4 linked regions of the Arabidopsis thaliana genome follow. The protein of the gene in region 4 purifies or fractionates together with the protein of the main gene of each other region. This does not show direct contact. Each region holds a gene or a part of one and is shown on either strand. Other genes may lie near its edges.

Evidence for each region.
Region 1: the proteins of AT1G36280 (region 4) and EDA9 fractionate together in Arabidopsis thaliana (co-fractionation; one large-scale study listed by BioGRID). This does not show direct contact.
Region 2: the proteins of AT1G36280 (region 4) and AT5G15400 fractionate together in Arabidopsis thaliana (co-fractionation; one large-scale study listed by BioGRID). This does not show direct contact.
Region 3: the proteins of AT1G36280 (region 4) and PGDH fractionate together in Arabidopsis thaliana (co-fractionation; one large-scale study listed by BioGRID). This does not show direct contact.

What each region holds. Positions count from the first base shown.
Region 1 is NC_003075.7:16,373,231-16,379,608, forward strand, and holds EDA9 (D-3-phosphoglycerate dehydrogenase), read right to left. Parts: upstream 3,437-6,378; 5' UTR 3,332-3,436; coding exon 2,776-3,331; intron 2,505-2,775; coding exon 2,017-2,504; intron 1,927-2,016; coding exon 1,831-1,926; intron 1,483-1,830; coding exon 811-1,482; 3' UTR 501-810; downstream 1-500. Other genes in the region: SEP1 (stress enhanced protein 1), read right to left, coding at 24-134, 236-281; SK11 (SKP1-like 11), read left to right, coding at 5,773-6,231. UniProt on the Arabidopsis thaliana protein: Involved in the plastidial phosphorylated pathway of serine biosynthesis (PPSB). Required for mature pollen development.
Region 2 is NC_003076.8:4,996,684-5,005,931, forward strand, and holds AT5G15400 (U-box domain-containing protein), read right to left. Parts: upstream 6,571-9,248; 5' UTR 6,225-6,570; coding exon 5,365-6,224; intron 4,894-5,364; coding exon 4,689-4,893; intron 4,548-4,688; coding exon 4,396-4,547; intron 4,309-4,395; coding exon 4,035-4,308; intron 3,762-4,034; coding exon 3,609-3,761; intron 3,510-3,608; coding exon 3,306-3,509; intron 3,225-3,305; coding exon 3,112-3,224; intron 3,002-3,111; coding exon 2,884-3,001; intron 2,729-2,883; coding exon 2,639-2,728; intron 2,559-2,638; coding exon 2,355-2,558; intron 2,276-2,354; coding exon 2,180-2,275; intron 2,097-2,179; coding exon 1,974-2,096; intron 1,892-1,973; coding exon 1,799-1,891; intron 1,715-1,798; coding exon 1,550-1,714; intron 1,445-1,549; coding exon 1,355-1,444; intron 1,258-1,354; coding exon 1,081-1,257; 3' UTR 806-1,080; downstream 1-805. Other genes in the region: AT5G15390 (tRNA/rRNA methyltransferase (SpoU) family protein), read left to right, coding at 77-138, 212-350, 438-572; DND1 (Cyclic nucleotide-regulated ion channel family protein), read right to left, coding at 6,777-7,286, 7,403-7,489, 7,576-7,812, 7,905-8,016, 8,114-8,433, 8,620-8,835, 9,004-9,248. UniProt on the Arabidopsis thaliana protein: Ubiquitin-protein ligase that may function as an E3 ligase in conjunction with specific E1 and E2 ligases. May also function as an E4 ligase mediating the assembly of polyubiquitin chain assembly on substrates monoubiquitinated by another E3 ubiquitin ligase.
Region 3 is NC_003070.9:6,099,426-6,107,044, reverse strand, and holds PGDH (D-3-phosphoglycerate dehydrogenase), read right to left. Parts: upstream 6,031-7,619; 5' UTR 5,889-6,030; coding exon 5,266-5,888; coding exon of another isoform or gene 5,250-5,265; exon of another isoform or gene 5,062-5,249; intron 3,970-5,061; exon of another isoform or gene 3,715-3,969; coding exon 3,627-3,714; exon of another isoform or gene 3,413-3,626; coding exon of another isoform or gene 3,402-3,412; coding exon 2,925-3,401; intron 2,834-2,924; coding exon 2,066-2,833; 3' UTR 1,804-2,065; downstream 1-1,803. Other genes in the region: PEPR2 (PEP1 receptor 2), read right to left, coding at 1-389; AT1G17744 (uncharacterized protein), read left to right, coding at 5,250-5,690; VPS46.1 (vacuolar protein sorting 46.1), read right to left, coding at 6,892-7,178, 7,511-7,619. UniProt on the Arabidopsis thaliana protein: Involved in the plastidial phosphorylated pathway of serine biosynthesis (PPSB).
Region 4 is NC_003070.9:13,637,709-13,644,001, reverse strand, and holds AT1G36280 (L-Aspartase-like family protein), read right to left. Parts: upstream 3,495-6,293; 5' UTR 3,403-3,494; coding exon 3,244-3,402; intron 3,167-3,243; coding exon 3,014-3,166; intron 2,922-3,013; coding exon 2,706-2,921; intron 2,628-2,705; coding exon 2,445-2,627; intron 2,367-2,444; coding exon 2,145-2,366; intron 2,068-2,144; coding exon 1,951-2,067; intron 1,871-1,950; coding exon 1,727-1,870; intron 1,643-1,726; coding exon 1,541-1,642; intron 1,469-1,540; coding exon 1,400-1,468; intron 1,313-1,399; coding exon 1,094-1,312; 3' UTR 880-1,093; downstream 1-879.

The sequences.
Region 1 (6,378 bases), on a different chromosome or scaffold from region 4:
TCTCAGGGGCAAGGAAGACGTACAGAGAGGAGAACCAGAAGCGAAGGTGGATCGGATTCCAGCAAGTTGCGGAACATGAACCCGACATGTAGAAGTTGGGTTTGTGATTGTGGCTAGCTTTAGGGCACCAGAATCTGGAAACATGAAATCCGAAACTAGTCAGATACATACATTATAGAGACAATTGTACAACTAGAGGAAGAAGAAGGGTAGCGAAGAGAGAAAGAAAGAGTACTGGGAAGAGAAAAGGCGAGAGACGCAGACACTTGAGATAAGGCCATCTTCCTTCTACGTAGATATCACAAGACTCTCCCTTTCTTCTTCTTCTACTATTCTCCTTCCTTCGTCTTCCTTTCTCAAGAGTCGCAGAATTATCTGTTCAAGCTGAGGACACGTGTTTTCTCTCCACTCATTAAGTTCGTATCTTTTCGAGCTACACAGTTTTCCAAAACGGTGGCGTTTCACAAACAACTGCATCTCTTAGAGCAAACCGAACCTAATCTGAACCAAACCAAACCAATTTTGAAAAATTGGATTGGCTTAATTAACAGATTCTCTACGATAGTTACATCGGTTCGTTCAATTGGGTTATAAACCAATTTGTGGTCACTAATATTCAGGAAATAAATATTCAGAGAAGAAAGAAGCACTCAAGTAATAGAAACCATAAAGTTGAAACATCAAAGAGACACTACTCTCAACGTTACCAAAACTGTATGAAAGCCAAAATAACATTATTGCCTAAACCAACAAACAACATCAAATCTTCACCGGTGAGATTTAAGATTCAAGAATCAACAACACACCAAACTAGAGCTTGAGGAAAACGAACTCCTCAACCGCTGGAATTTCCCCAATCTTCTTCAGTGTCTCTTTGCTTGGTATGTCATCTACTCCAATCGCCATAATCGCTTGCTTCCTCGGTGCAATTCTCCCAACGCTCATGAAGTTAACATTGACATTAGACTCTCCAAGGATGCTTCCGACAGTCCCGATCATACCAGGTTGATCCACCTGCCTGCACAGTATGATACTACCTTCAAGAGTTACATCGACCTCAAAAGATCCAACCTTTGTCAAATGCGGGACTCCGTCTTTAACCTTTCCTTCCACTTTAACCTCTCCTGATTCAGACAGGGAACTGGCGAATTTGGACTCCACATTGCTTAGCTGAACAGTTATTGTCTCCAATGGGCTCTCTGGTGAACCATCCAAAAGCACACGTTCCTCTGAGAGTCTGAGACCTCTCTGCTTGGCTGTGAAATCAGCGTTGACCAAATTGACATATACGTCAGAGATTGGCTCGATGATTCCCTTGGTGATCATGGCTCGGAGAAGTCTGGTGTCAAGATCATCAGTGGCTCTTGCTGAGGCGTATGTGATTTTCGCGTTTTTCACACCGCTTCCTCCGGCCACCAGTTGCACTGCCAGTCTTCCTAGTTTCTCGGCTAGCACCACATATGGTTTCAGCTCGGTCAGAACCTGCAGATAGAATGCATGTAAGCTTGAGCAAATAACAAACATGGATAGTCTTAACAATTGAAATCTTCCAACTTGAATCTGATAAGAACAAAGCTATAAACCTTGCTAGTCTAAAATCCAATTCAGAAATCACAGAAACTTGATTAATGAGGCTCTTAAAACAAATCCCTAGAAAACCCACCCTCACTTCAACAATTTTGCCGCTCACTAACTTCTTTCTAACCAACTCGGAACAAATATAATTTGCTACATTCATTCCCAGGCTAGCTACAGTAAATAGGCTGATAAGTTTGCCTCTTTGAAACAACACCAATATGTGTGTATTTACTAGCACAAGCGAGTGCTCACCTCAGCAGAAACCATAGGTGCATTGACTGCAGTAGCAGCAAGCTCTCCATTCAGAGCTCCAACAACAGCTTCAGCAATTTCGATGGCAACTCCTTCCTGTCAAAGCCAAAACACCAACTATATAACAGAAGCCAAACAGAAATTTCATGATTAATTATCACCTGAACTGTAAAATGAATTGCACACCTGAGCCTCCATGGTACTAGCTCCAAGATGAGGTGTCACAGTGACCCTCTCGTGCTGCACGAGCTTGCTATCTTTAGCCGGAGGCTCTTTGGTGAAAACATCAAGTGCAGCCTGCGCAACAATACCAGCATCCAGAGCTCTCACTAACGCATCTTCGTCTATGACACCTCCACGAGCAACATTAACAATTCGAACTCCCTTCTTCATTTTGGCAAAGGTTTCGTCGTTTAGTATCTTCGATGTTGTTGGCGTAAGAGGCATATGAAGAGAAATGAAATCCGCGGTGGCAAGGGCTTCATCAAAGCTCACTAAGTCAACACCAATGGCGTGTGCACGGTCTGCTGGGGCATAGGGATCATGAGCAATGACACGCATACCAAGACCCTTAGCACGACGAGCAACTTCCGTCCCAACTTTCCCGAATCCCAACACTGCAAGGGTCTTTCCCACAAGTGAAACACCTACATACTTGTTCCTCTTCCACTCTCCTGCATTACAATGGTATTATTAAAACCAAGATCCACAAGTCAGCTAGATAACAGACAAGAATGATCAAAACTCAATTTCAAAAGAATCAGCAAATGTAACGATCCTAAATTTCACCATCGTCAACAACAGTACAGGAAAAGGAAAGCTCATGATACAAATTAATAAACACAACAAGCCATCAATCACAGGTATAGAAAGAACATAATCAATAAATATTTCGCAACATATGGAAAGTATGAAATTGAGGCAATGAATCAAAAAGGAACTAACCAGCCTTAACAGACGCATCAGCTTGAGCTACGTTCCTAGCCATGGCGGCCATAAGAGCGATTCCGTGCTCAGCGGCAGCGATCGTGTTCGCCGTCGGAGCGTTGACAACCAAACACCCAAACTCCGTCGCTGCACTCAGATCCACGTTGTCGATCCCAACACCAGCGCGACCAACAACCTTGAGCCGTCCGTGAGACGATTCGAACACCTCACGGCCAACCTTAGTCCCACTCCTCACGATCAAGGCGTCACAGAGCGAGATCTTAATGTTGAGCTCCTCAGGAGTCATGTTATACGAACAGTCGACATTCGCGACATCCTCCAAAAGCTTAATACCAGCGTCACCGAGCTTCTCCGCCACGAGAATCGTAGGCTTAGATCCGTCTCCAGTACTGCAGGAAACGAGAACGAGGCGTCGCTGAAGAGTATTGCGTCCACGGGAAGGGAAAGCCACGGAGATGGCTGATGGAAGGGGCGATCTGGAAGACAGAGTCACGTTCCTGAGAGAGTTGGTGGCAACGGCGATCGAGGAGGAGGCGGCGGCGGTGGCTGACATTGCTACCGCTTTTGGAGTGTGAGTGAATTGAGTAGAGAAAAATATTGTTGGTGGCGGAGTTATAACACGAGGGAGAGATCTAAAAGGTTTTATAGTCGGCTCAGGGGTTTGGTGTGATGTGATAGTATTTTGACGAAGGTGATGAAATCTCACGCGCATTTGGCTCGCGCGTGTGATTCAGTTTGGTTTAGTGATCTGCAAAATGTTTCGGCGAATAGAATTTGCATAGTTTACCGGAAAAATTGCCAAACCAACAAAAAATAAAAAAAAATGTACAACTTTGAGGAAAAGTAAACTTTATTTATTACATATCTCTCTGACCGAGAACAAAAGATTACTCGAAAATTATTTACAGCTTTGAAGATTTTTGACAATGCAAATAGAGATCTTGAAGAAGCCTTATTTTGATGGCATGAGGAGTCTCACGATGTCTGTCAGATAATCAGATCATTGACTTAAATACAGTATCTATAAAAGATTTTAACATTTATGTCCCAAATGAAAAGAAGACTTGTAATGTTTTTTTTTAATGTAGAGGAGTTACTATGTTTATAATATATCCAAATCATAAGTTTCCGCAGAAATTTCAAAATGAAGCAGGAAATTTCATAATTTTGTTTTTCTTTCTAAGGGAGTGTCTGTCCATGCTTCATGCTTGAATGCAACAAGTAGTAATAAAAGATTAAAAGGTCCCCGCACTACTAGTAAACGAGGCCATACACTAGAGGGAGAGCCGCACTTTTTAGTATTTGAAAACAAATTGAAGACTTCAAATTTAAATTGAATTGGACTTTCTTTTTGAAAAAACTCGAGAGTTTTAGTTTTCAGGGCAAGTGATTTGTTTGTGTCAACTTACACACATGTAAATACATCAATTGTGAGGAGGAATATTTGAAAGGATATACTGATGGCTGTGACGTAAGTATAATTTATTGCACGTGAAAGATTTGCTTAGTGTGTCTTTGCAACTGCTTAGATGCATTGTTTTTGGTAGGTCGACCTGTTGACACCCCCCGTATAGTATTCAACGCAGCCGCGCGTGGATGGGTGTACTGTTGAATCTTCGTATATCTTTTGGTTTATTTTGGTTTACTCAACTGAAATTACCTTTTATGAAAAATGAGTCGACAATTAATTTACTTTTTTTTTTTTTTTTTCATTCTTTCATTTTAACCCAACCATGGTAAAGTTACAACAGCATAATAAAACTCATATAAAGGCCCAGCAACATAAAATTACTTATTTCTTTCAGTTAAGGAAAATAAGTATTTCGTTATTTTTTTAATTGCTTTTTTTTTTAGAAACAATAACTATCTATATATACATTTTTGCAGCCACTTTAACAAATAAATCTTCACTTAGCACTTATTTACTATGGCATGCCATTGACATTTATTATTTTACTAAACTTATTTTTAAATATAAATATAAAATCTATTATGTTACTAAAATTTATGAAATTAAAAAAAAAAAAAACATTTAAATCTTTCCAATTAGCATTAATCACCCTGATTTTTCGTTTTACATCATTTATTTTCAGTTAATAAAATGAATCAAATCTTATATTACAATATATGCTTTAATATTTTCATTAAAAAAATAATTGCGTAATAAAATTTGAAACCCTAATTATTTCTCAATCAACATTTTTCGTTTCAATTGTACTAAATAATTTTGCTCTTTTTTGGCAAAAATAAATTGTACATGTATTAAGTTGATATTGCAGATTCAAAAAATATTAACAAATGCCTAAATTTAGGTTATTAAAATAAAAAATAGTTAGTTAAAAACACAAGTATATCAATCCCAAATTATGATTAAATTAAATATTTATTTATAATAATTTTTACCAAAAAATAACATTATATATATTAAAATTTTTGAAGTACTTTTTAAAGTACTTTTGTGTTAGTAAAGTAAGAATTTACAAAGAATGTCATCACATTAAAGTCAAAAACAATTATTATTTTTAAAGAATATTAGTGATATATTTTACCTTTATGAAACATTATTAATATTTAAACATAAAAAATTAAAATATCATGAGACGGGAAGTATAGCAGAACGGGTTTGGATTGATAGGAAATACATCGAGACGGGTTTGGATTGATATAACACAGGTAAAATATTTATTTTATTATTTTATCATCACTAATTTTTTTAATTACAAGATTAATATAAAATTATATAACTTTATTACTAAATATAAAATTATAAAATTTAAAATTATTATATATATAAATAAAATATTTGTCCGTAGTGTACCACGCGTTGAATTATAATATGTTGTTGTCACCGACTCTAGCTAGGGCTTATAAATACAAAGACGCATAGGGTTTCACAACTTCATCACCTTAACACAATTTGTTCGCTCTCTAAATTCTTAAATCTTTCATCAAATTTGCTTCACAGTGAAAAACCTCCTCCACAAGGAACACACAATGTCTTCGAAGATGATCGTGTTGATGAGCTCCGATGGTCAGTCGTTTGAGGTGGAAGAAGCGGTAGCAATCCAATCGCAGACCATAGCGCATATGGTTGAAGACGATTGCGTTGCTGATGGAATCCCTCTTGCAAACGTGGAAAGCAAGATTCTTGTGAAAGTGATCGAGTACTGCAAGAAACACCACGTCGACGAGGCTAATCCTATCTCTGAAGAGGATCTCAACAACTGGGACGAGAAGTTCATGGATCTCGAACAATCCACCATCTTTGAACTCATCCTTGCTGCGAATTACCTCAACATAAAAAGCTTGCTTGATCTCACATGCCAAACTGTTGCGGACATGATCAAAGGCAAGACTCCAGAGGAGATTCGTTCAACTTTCAACATTGAGAATGATTTTACACCTGAGGAAGAAGAAGCTGTTCGTAAGGAGAATCAATGGGCTTTTGAATGAGCCCATGAATCAAAACCCTAACTAGCTTTCTTTTTCTTTTTTTCGTTTTTTAGTGTTTTCTTTTTAACGTCTTGATCGATTATGATAACTTTGTCTACATCTTTATTATGATTTGTGTTTCTTTTTATGAGAAAAAAACTTGAACCA
Region 2 (9,248 bases), on a different chromosome or scaffold from region 4:
TGTTTGTATATATTTGTCATCACCATTATTTATGAGGCAAAATGAATGACATTCTCTTGGTGGTAATATCTTATAGGTTTCCATTTACGATATGGACTGGTCATGCCCAACAGCAATAGTTGTTGGAAACGAGGGCAGGTAATGAATATCATCTCTTAGTCCAAATTTGAGGGTTCATAATTTCTTAATGGATTGATTGGGGAATATGCAGGGGAATAAGTGACGAAGCGTTGGAGTTATCAGATCTGCGTTGCAGTATTCCGATGAATGGAATGGTTGATTCGTTTAATGTCTCAGTGGCTGCAGGGATTCTGATGCACCACGCAGTCTCTGATAGAACCACTCGTCTGGTAAACCTATTGACACAGCTAGACAATCATTTACGTTAGTTTCCAGTTCAGTTTATGCTTTAATTACATTTTATGGGTTTGAAACAGGGAAGCCATGGAGATCTGTCGGAAGCAGAGAAAGAGATATTGATGGCTGAGTTCTCACTTCGTCACAGTAGAAGCTCAATTTGCATTGCTTACGAGTTCGCTAAACGTAAACAACAACACTCTACCTCCTCCTAATTTTGAAACCGTTGTCTTATTCTCTCGCTGTTTTGCGTGTTATAGGCTTCGAATGACGCCTATAAAAACTCTTTCGAACTCTTTTTTTGGTACGACGCTTGCTTCATGTACAACTCTTAAATTCTATAAAAGACATCCTTCTGTCGAACGTATTGCCTTTTCAATCGAGTGAGTGGTGTTGATTTCACCATTCTTCTGCATCGACCTCACGCCATCAAAGATTAAGTTAGAAATTTCGCCTTTCAAGAATTGGTCACTCATAACTCTTATGCCAACTAGTAATCCATGAACAAACGTCGAAATGCATAGAAACTCGTGAACACATCGAACTTATGATAGAAACAGTTCTAGACATGATATTTATAAGTTTTTTTCCCGTGGCATCAAATAAGTGGAAAGCAAGCCCTAAAATAGATAGATAAATCCTAATAGAAAAGAAAGCCTAGCAAAAGTAAAAAAAAAAAGTCCTGAATAATTGTTATTATTTTGTTACTTTTGGAACACATAATTAATCAATTAACATATCACTGTTTGTAGTCTGTATCCTTTCCTTGTTGCTGCTATCTTCTCCACTTGTCCGTTTCTTAGACTGATGCGACTTCACAAACTCATCGATTTTCGCCTTCAACTCGATGTCCGGTATCAACATATCCGATGTCAAATGTGCTCGGTTAAATGGATCATGCTGCAGCAAAAGTAAGAGGATCATATACAAAGCCAAAATCTTCAGAGAAAGAGAGATGTGACTGATCAGTGATCATCATTGTGTTAGATAAGCTTACATTGTCGCTGAGAAGATGACGTTGAATGATGGGACGATCAACTGTGATTCTTGAGCTTGGAAGTATTACTGGATCTCTCATTAGCGTGTACTGCCAAAAAAGAAAAGGAAAAGAAAAAAACAAGAACAGACATTAGTGCATGGTAATAAGACAAGATTTAGGTTTAAATTAGTGTTTCTTTCAACAGATAAAGACCTGAATTGGGTCAAGGAACTCGTCTGGTATTTCCCCAAGTGCAGCTTCAGCATCCAGAGCTTCAGAAGCAGCAGCTTTGGCTTTTGTGCCTAACTCCATAAACTCTTGAATGATTCTTCCCTCTTCACCTATTCTCCTAAGCACATCTGCTCCTGCATTGAATAGCTGCAAAAACGGGCACTTGTTTAGTTCAGTAGAGACGCATCTATTATTATGAAAGAGGATTTGGTTTAGAAAGAAGGATCTGACCTGTTCATTATATGATCGGCCATCACTGGAGATGGCACCAGGGAATATGTTTACTGTGTCTCCTCTTGCGAGATTAACATATATGCGAACGATCTTCAAAGTTCACAATCATATCAGTCAGTTTTTTCTCACATACTTTGATCAGGAGAATTGAGTAATTGTAATCACTACTAACCTGTTTAAGTAACTGTTTTGGACGGAATTCATATTTCTCAGGATCTTTCAGGCTTAAAGATTTACGCTGTGGACCCACGAGTTGTAGCAAGAAGTAGTTAAGCATGTTGGCAACCCTCTCAACCTAAATAAGTGCAAACAAACAAAGAAACTCATCAGTTGGGTAATCATAGGGCAGGTTATCATTTCAGGAATATGGTCAGGTACCATCTCAGGGAGTAGGAAAGGGGCAGTGATCTCCTCGGATGTAAATGCAAGCATAGTCACATCTTCATTTGCCAGCTTCATGTCGATTCTAACAATCTGCAAAGAAAATCAAAGTTCTTTATGGGATCGGGATTCGAGTACGAAACAAGATATAAGAAGTGATAATCCAACTAACATTCTCCTGCGAATGGAAGAGTCTTGTTCTCTCCTGTCTCTCTTGAGTTGGTCTCTGCTCCCACTCTGCAGTATTTGACATGTCTGCCTCGATTTGTTTAATCTCGAGAATTTTGTTTAGACTTTCATCCAGAAGATAGATGCTATCATTGACTAAGAAGTTTAAGAAGTTCAAGTACACGCCCTTCTCTTCGTCTTTTGCAATCTGTAACACATCAAATTTGGAAAAACATTGGAACATGATAGTTGAAGTTCAAAGTCATGGCAAGCTCACTAAGAATTTACCCGTCTCCATGCATTTCGGTGACTAGGCACCTGCCAGAGATACTCTAAAAGCTCGGCAATGTTGTGGCGAATATTGAACTTGTCATAGAACTGCATTTGGATAACTAGATTTCAGTTCCAATAAAAGCAAGAACAAATGGCTATTCTGGCTTCCAGAGCTAACATATTCTCAAGTACAATGCAATAGAGAGAAGTTCATTACTCCAGGAATATTATAGCCACTAAACAAAATCTCTTGCAATCACCTGAGTGTGTGAACCCGTGAACTCAATGTCAACATATAGTTTCAGTAAATTCCTGACAAGATACTCGAGCGATAACTGATGTCCCTCAAAGAGAGTAGATGTAGCAGAAGAAGAACTACTGCAGGAAAAAAAAAAAATTAGAATGGTGGACCACGTTACTGCAGAACTTGTTGCATTAGCAACACAAATTGACAAATGTACAGCTTTCTTTCATGGGAAGAAAAACACCTTGAACGAGGCATCCAGCAGTTCAGAACTTCAACCATCTTTGCTCTGAGATACGGGTTTCTAACATATTCAGGACTTGCCATGAACATAATTATGAAGTTCATAAAGTCGTCCTTAAGAAAAGAGAACAACCATCATCAGTGCAAATACAAAAAGAGAATTTCTACAGACTGATGAGAGCAAACTAAGCATACCAGCGGCACCCCGTCCAAAGCTTTGGGAATTCTTGAAGCGAATATCAGCAACTCCATTGCATCTTCAACAAAATGCTCAGGCATACAGGAGAATTCCATAGGGCAAGTTGACGGTAGAGGCATCTTAAAGCCACCGACTAGTCCAACTAACCAAACAACCATTAGGCGATAGAAAGACAGAGCTCGCTGAATAAAATCTCCATCCTTCAATACAGTATAGAGATAAGGCAGCTATTACTATCATGTTACCGGTCCAGAGGAAAAGCCGAAGATGTTATCAGAGCAGAGAATATGATTACAAACCCTCAATATTTGGGCCTCATGGCAAAGCTTTTCCTGCGAAGACAGCTCTAGTTCTTTTTCCATTCGGGATATATCAAGTTCCAACTGTGGAGAAGGTGCTTGATCTCTCATGGCTTTTAGCGTTGCAAGATTATCTTCACCTCTCGAGATGTCCTACGTCATGCGGAAAAGAAAAAGTGAAGAACCATACAATAACAATCTTCTGCAAATTCAGGAATCAATGACACTTTCACAATGTAAACATGTGACTAAGTTCAAGTTTTTGCTATAGTCCCTTCTCGTTTTAACTAACAAACGCCTTAATAAGACAATATGTAAGGAACCAAATCAAATAAGAGCTTTCTGCAAGATAATTTATCACAAGTCGTTTTTTTTTCCAAAAAATCTTCAATATTTCCAGGACGGGAAAACTGTGATGATGATTACCTGAGCAAGATGTTTAAAGTCAGAGAGTGCTTTTAGGAGACCCAAATTGAGGACCCTAGCAGTCATAAAGAAGCATTCACAAATGAAAGTGTATTTAGTTGCTGACTTTGCATTTTGCCCAGAAGCATTACTACTAGAACTTGTGGCTTCTTTGGATTGTAACAAGCGACTTTCGTTCCCATTTTCTCGCCCAGCATCATTTGCGTTTGCCATAGCATCTTTGCCAATCCACTCAGTAACTTCTTCGGATGATGCATGGAGAGCGGTCAAGTCGCTGGTGTGGATCATAAATAATATTGCTCATCATGAAACTATTAAAATCAGTGAGGAAATACAAGTAGAATCATCTTGAGGACCATACCTTAATTTTAAGCGATGGCCACAGAATGCGTATTTTGGATCAATCTTATCCCTTTTCGTTAAATGTGGGTCTAAAAATGGTTCACAGAGCCGGAGCATTACTGCACTAAGGTTAACAAACATGCCTGAGCTAGCACAAGAGACTGGATCAACCTGTCATACAAGATAAACATATTACAGAATGCTGATTTGAGCAAAAAAGACAAATACCAACTTGATAAAACCGAGAGGAGACAATAGCAATTCATGAATAAAGATCCGAAGTATATATGCATCTTATAAACGGATGATTACCTGTATATGGGCTCTAGACGCATTTGCATTGATCACCTCTGCAAGAAACTGTAGAACACGCTCACGGGTATCAGTACTTTTAAGTAAAATCATCAATACATCATGCAGCCCGCTGTACAAAATGTTCATGAAATTTTTAATCGTGGAGAAGGATGATAATAAATCTGCGGGACGACGTTCCGATGCTTCAGAGAAACACTGCTGCCTGATATTCACAAAAACAATAGACATATATCAGCATTTTCATAACAGGTAAAGTATATCCTCTGAGGTGGATCAGGAAAACTCTTATGTTCGCACAATTAAGCCTTGTCAAATACTAAATGGACAATCAAGATTCTTCAGTACAGACCAGAAAAAATGCTCAAAATAATGGATTTCATCCACAATATTCTAACTTAACATAGTGCTTACTAATATTTCTGTTGGTTTCGCCTCTACTGATCATCTAACTATGCTAAATTTATATAATCATGCTTAAAATATGTATACAACCTAACAGTGGCATCATATATAAGCCAAATATATCTGCTTTTTTCCTTTTTTGATCAAGTCTCTCTACTATGAGTAAAAGCTAATCAATAATTCTTACTATCCAAACTTTCTCAATAAGAAAAGAGCCCCAAAGACTACATGATTCTCAGTAATAGAAACCCATAAATAAGTTGGAACTCACCCAACATCAGGTTGACTCTTGAATAGTGTATTATCTGGCAGCGCACTAATATGGAAGAAAGGCCCAAGAATGCTAGTCAACTCCATTGCTCGGCCGTTCATATAGGCACCCCGTGGAACCCACCACTCATGACTAACCAGAGATTTAGCTCCTACTGGTAAGCTAACAAGATACTTGAGTGCCCTCAGTGGTGGCTGGAAATCTCCAAGCACTGATACATTTATAACCGTAGACCTCAAATCCTCATACAGCTCCTTTAGAATCGAGTCCAAGCTATCAAAATCCGAGTCTTTGAAAAACTCATCCAAAAACCCAGGAGGAGCTTGAACCCCACTGCTACTAGCTCCAAACATATCCAACGAACCAGAACCAACCTCAGCAAAGATCAACGGAAGAACCGGAGAGACATTCCTCTTCTTCAACCTATTATCCAATCCACCACTAGGTTTATCCGAGTTCCCAAACATGTCAGGATTCCCCAAGTGAATCCTACAGTAAGAAACAGCAAGCTTCTTCGCTTGTTTAGTGACAATCTCCATCTCCGATCTCAGATTCTTATCCTTCATCGACTGGATTTTCTTCGATTCGTCGTAAGCACGACGGTGGCAACCGATTAAATACGGGAAAGGCGGTTCGGCGTCGGAAAAGTCGCCGGAGAGACGATCTATGAGAACTCTCTCCATCAAATCACGAGAAAGCAAAAGCTCTTTACCTTCGCTGAGAATCTCAGCGGCCGTCATCTCCAAGTAAACAATACGAGGATCGGAATCAGTTGATTCCGTTAGGGTTACATAAAATATCTTCCGGAGGATTATATCCTCAATTTCAGCCGGCGATCTTTGAGGTTTGCTCGTCGCCATTGATTTTACGAATCAAATCAAACACTCGAAACTCGATTTGAGAGATAAATATAAGAATTTTTTTTCTTAAACTTGTATTACCGATGAATCAAAAGCGAAAGAGTTTGGACTTAGCAATTTAAAGTATAATTAAATTTAGAAAAACTAAAATTCACGAAAGAAGAGAGAAACCATGGCGAGAGATTTGGAAGAACTTTCTGGGAGTAGGTTTTTGTTTATGAACTCTTTTGGAGTCTCTGAACGAGCTTTAGCAAGTCCTGAGCTTGGACAAAAAGTCTATATAGGATATATGCAAACGTCGTACTTACTAACGACGTCGTTTATACTTATTAAGACAATTACTTTTACTGCTAATAAAAAATAAAAAATAAAAAATTACCAAGATAAACTCCTCCAAGATTTTGTTGCTCAAAAAATCTACTTTGAACTTAACCGTAAGAGGTTGAAGTATCATTCCAAGAAAGATTTTTTAAAGAAGTAAAGGTAAACAATTGAGGAGGAACAATGAACACACAATTATTTGGACCGATATAAAATTGGAACTTTTTATTATTATTCGAGATGATCATGCGGTCGAATGGACATGAACATAGCTGCATACTGAAGTAACCGGCGTTCACTGTTACCTTCAATGCTATTCTCCGACACAGGACTCATCGAACCGCCGATGTTTTCACCACGGGTTCTTTTCCTACGCCGGCGCCACGCCATCTGAATATTTACCGCTGCCCACGTCCTCCAGTTTGAGGAATAGTATCTTGCGGTCCGCTTAAGCCGCTCGTTCGCGAATTTATAACGGAAATGATCGGTAATGTACCTAAGATCTTCGGATCCGAGGGAGAATGCCTCGATGTTTTCTAGGCAGACAAATGTTGCTGAGGAAGGGGGAAGACGGTCCAGAAACGGGCGACGTAGGCACCATGAGAGTAGCTCGTCGCCCAAGTAACCGCCTGGTTCTAGTGTACTAGTGGCTAGGACGCCTTTGCTTAGGCTCTGTATACGTTTGACTCGTCCACGCATGATGAATATCATTCTCTGTACAGGATCTCCTTCACGGATGATCTGTGACAATCAACAAAATCGAAGAACCTCAGATTTTACTCTTCAAGTAAACTCTTAAACCGAAACCGAAGCAAAATATTGGAAATATAAATTTTTAGAAATGATGGGATGAGTACCTTTTCGTCTTTAGAGAAGACTCGAGGCTTAGCCCGATCGCAAATGTTGTCGAGGATCAAGTCGTCCATGCCCCTGAACAATGGCACCTGAGAAAGATCAAACATGTCAGAGACTTAACACTTACTGCTTTCACAAGTCTTAACAAGATTGTATAAAGTCTGCTTCCTAGTACCTTGTTAATGAGATCAAAGCAAAGATATCGTTTGATATCTCTTCGAAGACCCGGAGGCAAATCATGTATAAGTTCTAGCTCGTCTTCACCACCCAAGGCATTCCATCTCTGCCGCTCAAATCGCCTAACCCTCTGTCTTAACCGGGAAGGTAACTGCCTACGTTTCATCCACCATTCCATATCCCTACACCGTATCTGCATTTTCCTTTTTTTCGCCATTACCGCATGCAAAAACACCTTCAAAATATTGTAAAGTAAAAAGCTTTTTAAAATCTTACATTCCATGAAAACACAATATCATAGAAAAGACATATTCTTGCATAGTTTACCTGAATGTTTCCTATCAACAGCGTGAAAAGTAACAAGCCACTTAGAACCATAACTATACTGAAAATAACCTCGAGCCAGTTGCTTGTGGGCTCAAGATCATTCGCAAATGTGCTGTAAAACGCGACCCCCAAAACAGATTCAGTATGTCAATCAGAGAATTTTTTTATATCCAAGATGTAAACCTTAAGCTCAGAAACAAAGCAATTACCTGAGAGTCATTAGGCCCCAGAAGATGGGGTAAAGGATCTTAACCGCAAGAGAGTTGCTGGAGATGACTGGAAGTGCCCAACGGTAGATACCATATCGGAATGGTCCGTTAGAGTCTAAGCACATAGGCTTATTGACCACACTGGTAAGGTTTCCAGATAAGCATGGATATCCAACTGTGCTTGTCGGTGACACAAATTGGTAACAGACCTCTTCTTTGCAAGCCAGACTCAGATTGCAGTTCCCGGTTCTCATACATTGTTGTCTTATGCAAGAAGCAACACGCTGTATTGCGAGAACATACCAACATCCCCCAGCAACCTGAAACCACCAGAATTTCCATAAACAACAAACTTTAATTTCATATCTTAGGACAGACCTTAGTAGTACTATATATATACACATGGGATTTGTTATATTGCATTTGTTTTAGGACCTGAATATAACCTATTGTTGCAGGACATTATATTCAGGCAGAAATACAATATCTAGCTTGAGAGGACTTACATGAGAAGCGATGAAATATGCGATGAGATTAAGAGCAAAACCCCACCAAATAGTTCCAAAAATGTAACCAGTGACCTTCTGCATCCTTCTCATCAAACAGATGCAGTGATAAATCTTGGGGAGGAACTGGAACAAGAATATTAGCAGCAGAATCGTCATTATCAGCTTAACCTTCTCTTCTCTTATCAGTTTCGGCACAACTAACCAAAACACTGCCTGCAAACAAGCAAAAACACAAAGTTCACATCTTATCTGCATCTCAAATCATGATTCATCAACAGGTAACACTTTCAAATGTAAATATGGGCTTTATTGATAGTAATAAAAAGTTTAGGGTTAATTTCATAATATTGGAATAGTTGGAAGGTTGTTCTGAAAATTCACCTGAGGGACAGGGAGGATGACGATAACATCAAACCAGAAGCCAGTGAGAGAGCGTGCGTAGTGAGACGCGATGGCGCGTGGATCCCAAACGAGCTTCCCACAACCAACGACAAGCGACTCTCTCGAGACGTAGGCCAGTCTGAATTGAAGCCACACGTGCCAAAGATGAACAGCATCGAGACACGTGCGGAGCACCGTGACCACCGCGGCGAACGCACCATCCATGTAAAGACACGCCGGTCCGG
Region 3 (7,619 bases), 7.5 Mb from region 4:
TCCAAATACTCAAGTGAAGTACAGTTTCCTAAAGTGGAAGGCAATAAACCAGAGAAACTGTTAAGACTGAGATCCAATGTGACCAAGCTCTTAAGCTCCCCAATTTCAGAACCTAATTGGCCTGAAAGCCCAGAAGCAGACAAATTAAGGGTCTCGACGACATTACCAGAAAGATCACAAATGACACCAAACCAGTTATTATTACATGGAGTGGTTTCAGATGTGTTCTCCTTCCACGTCGAAGCTACTTCAAGTGGGACTTTATCAAAGTGCTTGAGAAGCGAGAGTAAAGCCAAACCATCTGAGTTTAAACTAGAGACAGAATCTATACGGAAATAGACAAAGAGAGAGCAAAGCAGAGTAATTTCGAGTAACCCAAGATTCCTCATTTGAGATTAGAGCTCAAGAGACTGAAATATGAAACACTCGTACGTAGTAACCTCACTCAACAACCCTTGAACCCAGAATGAGAGGCGGAAAAAAAAAAGAGAGAGCTTTTGGATTTGAAAGGGTATCTGGATTTAGTGACAGGAACAGATTGCATTATTTAAGAAACGATCGATGAGTTTGGTGAGAGAGAAAAAGAGCGCGCTTTTTGGTTAACTCTTCGTCAGAGATTGTGAACCTAACTTTACGAATTGGCGACCTTCAACGCTGTTTCGTGTTTCTTTCTCGCTATTTCCATTACTACTCGGAGACTGTTTCGTGGTTTTAAATATTCCATTTTCCACGTTTTGTTTTCTTAGCTTATTCAAGAGAAAGCTTCTTTGGACGCTAATTTTCTATTGACATTTCATCCTACTGTTACTTTGTTAGATTTAAATCTTTCATAAACATTATATATTGGAATTTAATCAAGATCTCTGGTATCTGTCGTCTACACTAGAATTTTAACTAGTACTTTATTAACAAAACCATATTCACATAAAACAAAAATGGTTTATTAAAAACATAATGTCAAAACTGATTGAGAGATTAATTTTGATCTTCCCTGTTAACAATATTAAGATAGTGGAGCACTCATCAGTCTATTTAAAAGTCTTAAACCACTTGTATATCTCTCTTTTATGGAATTATTATGTTTATTTCTCTCATTATTACAAAATGTCATCATTTTGGGAGGATGCTATTACTCTTACTAAAATAAGATAACACGCATTCTCAACTTAATTAGACTCAATGATCATCTTTAAATTGATATTCTATATTCATTCCACCAACATAACTCAATCATTCGACGTGCACCATTACATATTATAATCTATCTAATTCCTTAACTGAATTCAATTTGGTTTGGTCGTCTCATGGTATTGAGAAGTCAAAAAAGTCCCAACGAAGAATCATACTTTCTTTAATGTATACAATATTCGTTTGTAACATTTTAACACGTTTATTTTGGAAATATCATACTGTCCATTTCGATTTTAAGTTGGTTGGTCGTCACTTTTGCAGGTCCCAAACGAATTTAATAACAACTTCTATATATGTCTCCATCACCAAACCCTATAATTATACTGTAGTTCATAAATTTTCATAGTTGACAAAGAAAATGTGATTTTCACCATAAGGATTTAGAGAGTGGTGGTCCTTGTTCTGTCTTCTATCACTTTTCTTTAAGTTTTATATATGTTCCACTTCTTTGGTATATTTCCTTTACATGATGTTGAAATTTGAATTTAACTTCAAAGGGTTTTCACATTAGATTCCAATGAGGTTTGCAGATTGCATTTTGTCACAAGATCACAAGGCCACCTACATCCTAAGACTAAAACCCCCAAAGACCCAAATGCGAATCCATTGAGTAGTGATGGAGGAATTTTGTTTTCAAGTCCAACGGTTCATCGTAAAATATAAGCAAAAGCATTTTACAAGAGAAACATGACATTAACCAAAGGCATTACATACCATAAGAAAGCAAAACAAGAACAATGTAATAATACCAAGATACACACACTCGCTCGCAACACCACAGATTCTCTACAGCTTAACAACCACTGGATAAAACACCTTAATCCGGGTCACAGTTTTATTCTCCATACACCACAATGCAACTCCATCTCAAACTTTATAGTTTAAGAAACACAAACTCTTCAATCGCAGAAACACCCCCAATCCTCTCAAGTGTTTTGTTGTCTGGTTCTTCATCAACTCCAATCGCCATTATCGCTTGTTTCCTCAACACTGTTCTTCCAACACTCATGAAATTCACATTCACGTTTTGTTCTCCAAGTATGTTACCAACCTGTCCAATCATCCCTGGTTGATCCACTTGCCTGCACAGTATCAGATTCCCTTCAAGGCTCACATCCACACCAAATGATCCGACACAAGTTAAATGCGGAACTCCGTACTTCACCTTCCCTTCAATACTTATATCACCAGCATCAGAGACAGCACCAGCGAAATTTGACTCCACATTCAAAATCTGAACTTGGATGGAATCAACAGGGTACTCTGGTGATGAATCAACAACCATTCGTTCCTCACTAATACGAAGACCCTTTTGTTTAGCTATGAAATCAGCATTCACCAAGTTGACATATGAATCTGAGATCGGTTCAATGATTCCCTTTGTGATCATTGCACGAAGTAGTCTAGTATCCAAATCATCTCGGTCACGAGCTGACCGATAGACCACCCTAATGGACTGTACTCCTTTACCTCCAGATGCTAACTGCACAGCTAACCTCCCAAGCTTCTCAGCTAAGACAATATAAGGAGTCAACTCAGACAAGACCTCAGGAGCCACCATTGGAGCATTGACGGCAGTAGCTGATAACTCTCCTTTCAATGCCCCTGCTACAGCCTCTGCTATCTCAATGGCTACACCTTCCTAAAATATCACATTGGAATTATATAAACTCGAAAAGAAGTGTAGAGAGATGAAACAAGTAACATAAACAAGATCAAGAGAGTGATGATACCTGAGCTTCTTTTGTGCTAGCTCCAAGATGAGGTGTCACAGTAACATTTTCATGCTGAATTAGTCTGCTATCTTTCGATGGTGGTTCCTCACAGAACACATCTAATGCTGCCTGAGCAACGATTCCGGCATCGAGAGCTCTAACGAGTGCATCCTCGTCGATGACGCCACCTCTAGCGACATTAATGAGACGCACACCTTTCTTCATCTTAGAGAAAGTTTCGTCGTTGAAGACCTTTTTGGTGGCCGGAGTTAAAGGCATGTGCAGGGAGACGAAATCGGCGGTGGAGATAGCTTGATCGAATGAAACAAGATCGACACCGAGAGCTCTGGCTCTGTCAGCTGGCGCGTAAGGGTCGTGGGAGATAACGGTCATGCCTAGACCTTTGGCTCTTCTCGCCACCTCCGTCCCAACTTTCCCGAAACCCATCACGGCCAAGGTTTTTCCGACGAGAGATACACCGACGTACTTGCTCCTCTCCCATTTTCCTGTAAAAATATCCAAATGTCCAAATTTCAGAAACCGCCTCGGTATTACTTGATGGAGGAGTCATCTCAGTTCAACTCAAATTGATTTTATTTTTTAGAATTTTTTTTTTTACTAGATTACAGAAGAAGAAGAATAACTCAAATTTTACAAAAGTGATTTTTAAGTGAAAGTGATTAAGACTTAGAAGAGATAATGGTATTGTAATGTCTACACTTTCTCAGTTTCTGTCTCGATCGTATATTGATGCTTTGACTGACGACAATTCCACCTTAACAGTAGTACCAGAAACAAATAATTGAGTCTTATCAATTATGATGCATGATTATTTTTTAATGACCCACTTGTATATTGTGTACTAAAATATCTACAAATTTGTATATTGTAAAAAGAATCCCATATTCTTCTGCTAATCAAGTTGCACTATATACGCCGAATCAATAATTAAGGTAATTTAAAAATTGTAATAAACTATTAACGAATATAAAGTTTTTAAAAAGAAAAAAAGACAACAAAGACTCGAGAAAATGATATTTGCCATGACAAAATTCCAAAATGGAAAAAAAAAAAAAAAACAAATTCCAAAATGGGTGGAACTGATGGGTTGTGACGCGTGAGATTGAAACTTTAAAGAGAGAATATATCAGGTAATCGAATTATTTCTTCAGTTACCGATGCATGGGTTTGTAATAAATTCCAAATAAGATGATTCAATCCCTTTTTTTGTCCTTTTTTGGAAAGTACAAATTGAAATTTTGTCTAATTAGTTACAATTTTGATTTTAATTTTGGATTTTGTTTTTTGTTGTTCAAAATCATTAAAGGTAATATGGTCTTAACAATCTCCTAAACTTTATATGATTCGATTCAATCTAAACCTACAATCAAAATTAGTATTGTAGTTATAAATTGATATCTAAACCGGCTAAAAAAACAGATTTTATGAATAATTTTGTGAATCTTATATTTTTGTAAATACTTTACTTTTACTAAAATTACATATACATAACTAATTAATACACATTTTAAACACATTTTAATATATTCCTCCAATTATAATTTAGTAATGTTTGATTCAAAAATTTATATTTATAAAATGTAAATATCAAATTTATTCAAATATTTAATATAAAAATCAAATAAACCGATTGTCTGCGGTAAACAGCGGATTAAATCTTAGTTGATTGATACAAAACAAAACAAGAAGTTTGCAATAATAGACAAAGAGACTCCAATAATTTAATTTCTGTACTGTGGTTGGTGAGAGACTCGGAGAAAAGTAAAATGAGGTTACTGGCGGCCCCAAAATTCAGGGCCCCGACTTTTACTTTTTGCAGTAAATGGACCCATTATTTTACATTTGACAGGTTCGTTTGTTTTTTCCATCTTACAGGGAGAGGATCAAATATGATTTTCCCCTTTTGTTCTACTTACGTAAACCAATTTTATTTTTGCTTCTAATCATGACTTTTCTACTATCCAATGACAAATTGCCACTTCTATGCTATAATGCATAACTCCAAAGATCAACTGAGCAATTATTACGAAGAAACACTTACGAGTAACGCCACTATACTGGAATTATTCAAATGGACCATTAACTCTTCTCAATATATGAACAAAACGAAATATTCAATATCTATCGATTAATCAATGATAATCAATTCTTCTTTTTTGTAATCAAGATAATTTGGACTTCATCAGATCTCGTAATCTTTGCGAGACTAAAACATGTTAGATTAGTTTTTTCTTTTCCATGGTGTGAAACATAGTATAAGCTTTAAGTTAATCTAGATAGGTTAATTGGTTAAATGTCTCATTTCAATAAAACAAAAAAAAAATGGCTAACCGGGAACGTACCGGCTTTAATAGAAGCGTCGGCCTGAGCAACGTTACGTGCCATAGAAGCAAGCAAAGCAATTCCATGTTCGGCAGCAGCCACCGTATTAGCCGTTGGAGCATTAACCACCAAACACCCGTGCTCCGTCGCCGCCTGCAGATCAACATTGTCAATCCCAACTCCGGCTCTTCCGACCACTTTCAACCTCCCCTTCGCCGCCTCAAACACTTCCCTCGTCACTTTAGTTCCGCTTCTCACGATCAGAGCGTCACTCTCCGCCACTTTCTTCTTCAGATCTTCCGGCGAAAGATCGTAAGAGCAGTCAACGTCGCCGAATTCCCTGAGGAGATTCACGCCGGCTTCTCCCAGTTTCTCGGTGACGAGGATCCTCGGCTTTGGAAGAGTTGGATTGTATTCATCAGAGTCAGATCCGACGGTTGAGAATCTGTTATCCTCTGTTAACGTCGTTTGCTCGACGGTTTTTAAGGCGGCGCTTATGGCCGTTAGTTTGACGCTTGTTGCGTAACGGCGGTGAAGGAAAGCAGGGAGGACGGCGAATCTAGAAGACGGTGACGGAGACGGAGACGTCCACCGTGAGTTGACGGCTTTGACGGACGAACACGAAGATGAAAATGCCATGACTCTTTTTTTTAATAATAAATATGATTGGTTGTTGTGAGTGTGTGCAGAAGAGCTAAAGTGGTTAATATAGAGCTTACAGGAGGTAATGGATGAGTTTTAATTTAATCTTTCACATTGTGGGCTACCAACATTATGTATTAAGTTGAACAGTTTGTTTGGTAAAAGAGTAAATAAAATGAGAAGCACATGCACAGAGAGTAGGACGTTCTTGTCTAGGTGCATCATCATTGTCTCAATTAAAACAAAAAAAACACATATAAAGTAGTATATAATAAAAGATTCATTTAAGCATTCAATTAATTGTTACTATAATTTAGCACTGAAATACATTGTCATCTATATTAGTATATTACGGTTAATATTCATCATCATGTGCATCCTTATTAATAAAAGAAAAATAATTGACGACCAATCTTTTATGTGATTCTCCCACTAAAATGATGGAGTTTCCGAAAGCATCTTTAAACCATAACTTTATGTTTCTTTTACTTAATTTTATTTTTGCAGAGAAGATAGATTCGGACTTTTCCTCACGAATTTTTTCAACTTTATTCATTAACAAGTGTATATGAAAAGAAACATGAAAGAACAAGACTTTGCAATGAACAAGACATGGGAGAGAGGGAGGAGACTTCACCATATCATCCTCTCTCCCAAGTTGACAACTGCAACAATCCACCAAGAGTACTATAAACATTCTTCTCCTTGGAAAGAATATACCTTTTACTCCAGTGTATTCCTTTCTGGACCTGGAAAATTTGGTGGAACTACTACCAGAGACACATCTGGAGAATTAACATTTGTACAACTAATCCAAACCATTAAGCAGATGATGAAATTTCTCATTGTAAAAACACACTCTAGGTTTTATATAAACAAAAGCATGTACCAGGGTGAGCAATTTACACAAACATTCCCATCATGTTCAGGGATTAATAGCATCAACATCTCAATAAAAGAAGAATCCAAATACAGTTTTTTTTTTTGTTAGGTTAGCTAATTAACCTCTGGCTTTAAGCTCGGCAAGTCTCCTGGTTAAATCATCCTCCTCAACTTTCTCTTCAGTCTTGGTAGGAATGGCATGACCAGCAGGCTGAGGTAGTCCAACAGAAACTTCAAGACCGTAATCATCTGCTACTTGCTGCATCAAGCTGTTGACTTCTCCTTCTGGAGTCGACAATGAAGTAGAGCCAGCCATTGCATTATCCATGAACTCAGCTTGGACTTCCATGTTCACAAACTGTTTCTCAAACGAATCCATCGTCTCAGACATCTTCTGTAAGTTGCCTGTTGCAAAGAACAAACCAGAAAATGATAACACGAGTTGCTACAGCACAACGTATAAGAGTATTATAAGCCCTATCTTCTTCTCCCTCTATACTACACTTACCAAAAGGAGAGAAATGCAACAAAAATTCATCACAGATCACAGAACATCCATGACGGTGAGAGAGAGCTATTCTAATATTTCATCAAACCAAACCCTAATGCATGATTCCATATCCTTCAATCAGCAAAAACAACAACAAGGAGCAGAATTTTTCAATCTATACTATAATGCTATGAGCACCAACAAAACCAAATTGATTAGATTGCTGAAAAGTGAGAATGTGAAATACCAGTGGTAAGAGACGATTCGAGGGATTTGACAATGTTGGTCATCGATTTGGTGATGGTAGCCATCTTAGCCTGGGTATCGAGTCGAGCAACAACAGCGTCCAATCGAGA
Region 4 (6,293 bases):
TCTAACGGGAAAGCAAGAGGAAATATAATTTCCAACAGAGGTTTACGATAAGATGATTCTCTTTCCCTTTATTTGTTTATTTTATGTATGGAGGTTCTGATTTCTAATATTAAGAAAGCGGAGCGAGAGAAGATGCTAACCGGCATTAAACTAGCTAAACGAAATCCTTCTATTCCACATTTGCTTTTTGCGGATGATAGTATTGTAAAACAGATGCGGAGGAATGTAAAACGGTGATGGGTGTTGTTATAAATTATTGTAAAGCTTTAGGACAAGAAATAAATTTCAATTAATCATCGGCCTTGTTTGGTAAGCGTGTTGCAAAAAAAAGAAAAAAAAGAAGAACTTAAAAATTTCCTTGGAATTACTAAGGAATGTGGAATGGGTACCTATTAAGTATACTAGAGAGTTTAAAGGGTTCAAAAAGTAAAATTGTTAACTATTTTGGGAAGATTTAATGAACGGGTTAATGGTTAGTCAGCTAAGTATCTGTCAAAATATGGGAAAGAGACAATGATCAAGTAAGTCAATGAGTGCAATTTTGAATTACTGGTGGAGTTCTAATGGAAGAGATTGTAGGATTCATTGGATAGCATGAGAGAAAATGTGTATGGATAAAGAAGGAGGTTTGTGATTTCATTCCCTAGAGAGTTCAATGATGTGGCTAAACAGTATTGACGATTGATACAATATCTAAAATCTTTAGTAGCTCGAATGTTAAAAGATAGATATTTCAGGAATATTCATCATTTCCAAGCAAAAAGAAAAAACAAACTCACCATCATTTGGCCGAAAAAGTATTTTTCGACTAAAAAGACATGTTGAGATGGAAGCAAGATGGCCCTTGGATCAGGTTTCAATCTATTGGTCTGTTTAATAACCATAATTTTTTATTGGTTTGAGAATCATTGACCACACACAACTTATATAATTCATGACGCTTAAGATCAAAACGAGGCTCTAGATTAATTGAAACTCAAAAAAGAAACATAACACAACGATCAATAAACTGATTCTTGTTTTCCCATTGGATTTGGGAAAAGAAAATCATAATACAACAAGCAGAATCATCTACACCAATATGATCATATTATTAATGTCCCAAGTGCACAGCATCATCCACGGCTAGTGCCAATGCAGCAGCAGCGCCAACATATGTGTGTGGAGTTAGCTTCAAAAGTTGGTCTTTTGCTTCTTCAGGCAATTCCAAACTTTTAATAAACTTTCTAATGCTTTCTTCATTCACAGCTCTTCCTCTTGTTAGCTCCTTCAGCTTCTCATACGGCTCTGGAACACCATATCTCCTCATCACCTGTTTTTTTTATTCCTTCAGTTACCAATGTACATGGAATAATAACTTGATCATTATAATAAGACTAGAAAGTTTCGAGAAATTTACAGTTTGTATCGGTTCAGCGAGGACTTCCCAAGTATGATCCAAATCGTCTTTTAACCGAGCTTCATTAACCTATATCAAGAACATCCTTAGTCTATGACAAGTGAAGACCTTTCTTTCTTAGGGCAACGGAAATAATAATACCTGAAGCTTCCCAATTCCCTGTATCGCGCTCTTGTAAGCCAGAAGAGAGTGTCCTAAAGCTCCACCCATGTTTCTCAAGACAGTTGAATCTGTTAAATCACGCTGCAGATATGTACATTTAAATTTTCAGGCTTACTTACTTCTACACCATTACTGTTAGCAAGATCTAGTGGAGTATGCTCAAACCTGCATTCGTGAAATGGGAAGCTTCATGCTGAGAAAAGCAAGCTCTGCATTTGCTTTACCTAGATTCCCTTCGCTGTTCTCAAAGTCAATAGGATTCACTTTGTGAGGCATTGTCGATGATCCGATTTCACCCGCTTTAGTTATCTGCATCAAAATTTCAAACAATGAGACAGATTTTCCCATTCCTTTTCAAATGACTCGGACATATTTTTGTTAATACTTGCCTGCTTAAAGTAACCTAGAGATATGTAGCTCCATATATCTCTGTCAAAATCAATCAAGACATTGTTGAATTGGCTAATTGTATTAAAAAGTCTAGCCATATAGTCATGTGGTTCAATCTGCAAAAACCACCAGTGAGGAACTTTACAAATCATTCCACCAGGAAAAATTTGATCAAGAGAAACTATATATATACCTGAGTCACGTATGGGTTAAATGTTAATCCAAGAGAAGTAACAAACTCCTCTGCAACATGAGGCCAGTCAATATTAGAATACGCGGAAATATGCGCGTTGTAGTTTCCAACAGCACCCGCAAATTTCCCCTTAATCTTAGTTTCTGAAAGATATCTCCTTTCTACACTTAACCTCACAGCAAAAATCGCCATTTCCTTCCCCAATGTTGTAGGTGAAGCTGGCTGCATTATAAATCATGACCATTGCTTTAACAAAGAGATAGATAGAACTGAAAAATAATACTTCTCTTTGGACATTACCTGCCCATGAGTTCGTGAAAGCATAGGTACATATGCAAAGCTCTTAGCCATCAGAGAGATAGACTTGATCAACTCATCCATGGTAGGAAGTATAACCGAACTAAGTGCTTCTTGAAGCATCAAAGCATGGGAAAGATTGTTGATGTCCTCAGACGTACAAGCGAAATGGAAAAACTCTAGAACCTAAAGACGAGACATTTAGTCAATGCATCATCAATCAAAGCATCCAAACCCTAAGAAGAGTAAGAAACGGTTTCTAACCTTAGCAATCTCTGGATGTGATTCACACTTTTGTTTCAAAAAATACTCCACTGCTTTCACATCGTGATTTGTCACTCTCTCAATCTTCTTAACTTGCAATGCATCATCCATACTAAATCCATCGATTATACCTTGCAAGTACTTATGAGCTTCTTTGCTAAAGCTTGGAACTTCAGTGACTTGAGGTATATTTGAAAGCTTAATAAGCCATTTGATCTAACAAAAGTACAAAGTTGAAGACTTTAGCTAACTACTCAAACAAAACCAATCTTCCTAATCAATCAATGAATCAGAACATAACCCAATACCTCGACAAGTACTCGGAAATAGATCAATCCAAACTCGCTCATAGAAGAAGCCAAGTCCTTAACTTTTCCCCAATAACGTCCATCCAAAGGCGATAATGCTGTTAAATTCGACATCTCAAAGTCTCTGGAACTTGCACTAGCCATTGCTATCAACTAAAGTATATTCATTTATCAGATTACATACAAAAACCCACAAAGTAAATAGGCTTGAAACTAGAGAAAGGCTTTACCTTTGTTGAAGTCATTAGCTTGAGAGAATGAGGAGAAGAAACAGAGAATGAAACTCTTGGAAGATGAGACAGAGATTTTGATGGGTTTAAAAGACTTCTTATGGGTATAAGGCCGGAACAAGGGATTTTGGTGGCCATCGAAGATAAATTGAGCTCCATTTTTGTGTGATTTAGGGTTTATGGCAATTTACTCGAAAACAGAGCATATAGAGAAGAAGAAAGAGAGCAATATGAGTGCGAGATCGGTTCGCGGTTTGGTTTGGTTTGGTTCTGCTATTTATTTTATCGGTTATACAGAAATTAAAATCATTTCTAATTTAGTTTGGTTATCGTTTTGTTCTTGATTTGAATTAAGTTATATTTGTTTGCGATTTTTTTTTTTGTCATCTGAATTTTATTAAGAACCAAAGAAAGGATATAAGTTAAAATTACATATGCCGGCAGACGGAAGAGGGAAGTTTTGCCCAAACAAATTTGGAGAAACTAACGTACACTAGCCTTAGGGCCAGACTGGTTTAAATACAGCGGGTACGGTTACGGTTGCGGGAGTTTACGGAAACGGGCGGTTGCGGTTTCAAGCGTTATCAAGTGTTTTGAACGACTGGTTGAGCGTTTGGTAATGGGTGCGGTTGCGGGAGTTTTATGACTGGTAAACCAGCGGGTGCGATAATAATTAAATAAAAAATAACCAAAATAAATATAATATATTACTATTAAAAGAAAAAATACAATATATTATTATGATAAATTGATAATATTTGAAAAATTAAACATGCTTAATAATTAAAACCATAAATAAAACTGAAAATTCAAAAATAAATAGATTTTGTAAGAAAAAACTTAATACTTTATGCATTTGGTAAATCACCAAAAATTGCATCAAGTAGTGTGATAAACTGTAAATAACGTTGACCTCACGGGTTTTCTAGATTGCCTCTATACATATGATAAAGTTTCTTCAAGATATCCAAACGATTTTTAACACATCTCCAACTCAAAATTTTTCCAAACGTTAATATTCTTAAGAATATTTTCTTTTTGAACATCACTTAGAAATCAAAGTCTTTGAAGTAACGCAAATGTGGTCTCGTCTGACCAAATGATTTTCTAATCGAGAAAACAAATCAAAACATGTATTCAATCAAAAAACACAAAAAAAACCAAAAAAAAAAAAACGATGCCATGAAATATTCCGAGAATTACACTAGCTAATGAATGGATGAAAGGATAGATCATACTTACGTTTGATTCTTAATTTTGACTTTGATTTTCGTCAGTTTGGGTGGATGCCATAATTGAGAGAATAGGGTTTCAATATATTGATTAGGGTTTTCTGATAAGAATAAGTATAGGGTTTGGGTGGAAGATATAATTATTTTAATGAATTAATTTTTTTTTTTTTAACTTAACCGCTACCGCCCGCACCCGCAAACGCTTGCGGGAATGAGCTTTTGAAATCTGGCGATTTCGAGCGGTCCAAAGCGGTATCTAGCGGTTTCTATGATTGGTGCCAACCGCTAATAACCGCTACCACCCGCAAACGCAGCGTTTGCGGGTGGCAGAGGGAGAACCAATCAAGCCCTTAATATACAAACAGAAACCAATGTAAGAAAAGAGAGAACCACTGAACCACATAGGAAAACATTGAAACCTAAGCGCTAAAATTGAACAAAGGAACGATAGATCTCGCCAAGCTTTCCTATAGAACCTGTGAACGTCGGAAGCACCAATAAGACCATGGAGACCTCACACCGACGTCAAACCAAAAAATAGCAAAACCGATAAAGAGGAAAGCAAGTAACCATCAATACTAGAGACACAAATACAACCACTATCATACCTCACAAGCCAATACGAAGAAAGCAACAAAACATTAGGAAGAAGGCAAAAAACTTGAAAATCAACTAGAGATAAGTCAAATAAGATCAATAACTCTTTACATGCGGACACTCGTCGAAACAGCTTCAGCCAACTACATACATAAAACTGACGACGTCCTCACAAGAGAAGAGCTAGAGAATGATTCCATTGTTTCGCCAAGAACTAGTGTCGTGTCTAAACTTATCGGGGGTTAAGGCAAAGTTGATATTAGGACTTTTTTAAATAAATAAATAAATAAACTAAAAAAATCATTGAAAACAAAATAATAATATAACTAAGACTTAATTTTTTTTTCTTCATTTTTAATTAACGCTCTCACCAAATTTTCATAATTTTATGTTTTTTGGGCTCCAATTAGATATGATCTCAAATACATGTTTCTAAAGAGTTCAAATTTTTTTTATCATCAAATCAGCACAATCATTATTTATAAAGAAAGCTACATAAAGATGAATTAATATATGTTAAGTTAATAGATATTTAGAAGAGTTGAAGTAGGTTAAAAGAAATAAAGTGAATAAAGAAAAACATTAAAAATCAGGTTAGTCACTTTTTAAGAGGAATAAAAATCCTCTTAATTACATGTCAATGCCGTTAGAAAAATCAATTCAACGTTAAATTCGTTTCACATCATTAAGGTTAGCAAAGTCAATTAACAACAATATCCATCTATTAAACACACAGATAAATACATAATCAAACGGGTATATACCATATTTTTCTATGATAATCTTAATAGTTTCCTTTAATCCAAAATCTTCAAAATCTTAACGAATATATAAAATATTTATTCCTATCGCCATATCTTCCTCTTAACAGATTATATTCCATTTAACAAATAATATTCCTTCTACCATAAATTGAAATTCAAAATACCATAAATTGTATGAAACGGAAGAAATTATATTCTTTTTCACGATGAACACATTGAACATTTTTCGTTAAAAAACATTCTCTCCATAATCAGTTGACTAATATTTAGCAGATCTTTATTATACACTTCTTTCAAATATGAATATAATATATATTTACCATCCGGATTCAAATTTCTATCGCCATATCTTTCTCTTAACAGATAATATTCCATATAACAAATAATATTCCTTCTACCAGAATATTTCACTAACTAATTTAGGATCAATTATGAAAATATCACAATAAAGTGAACG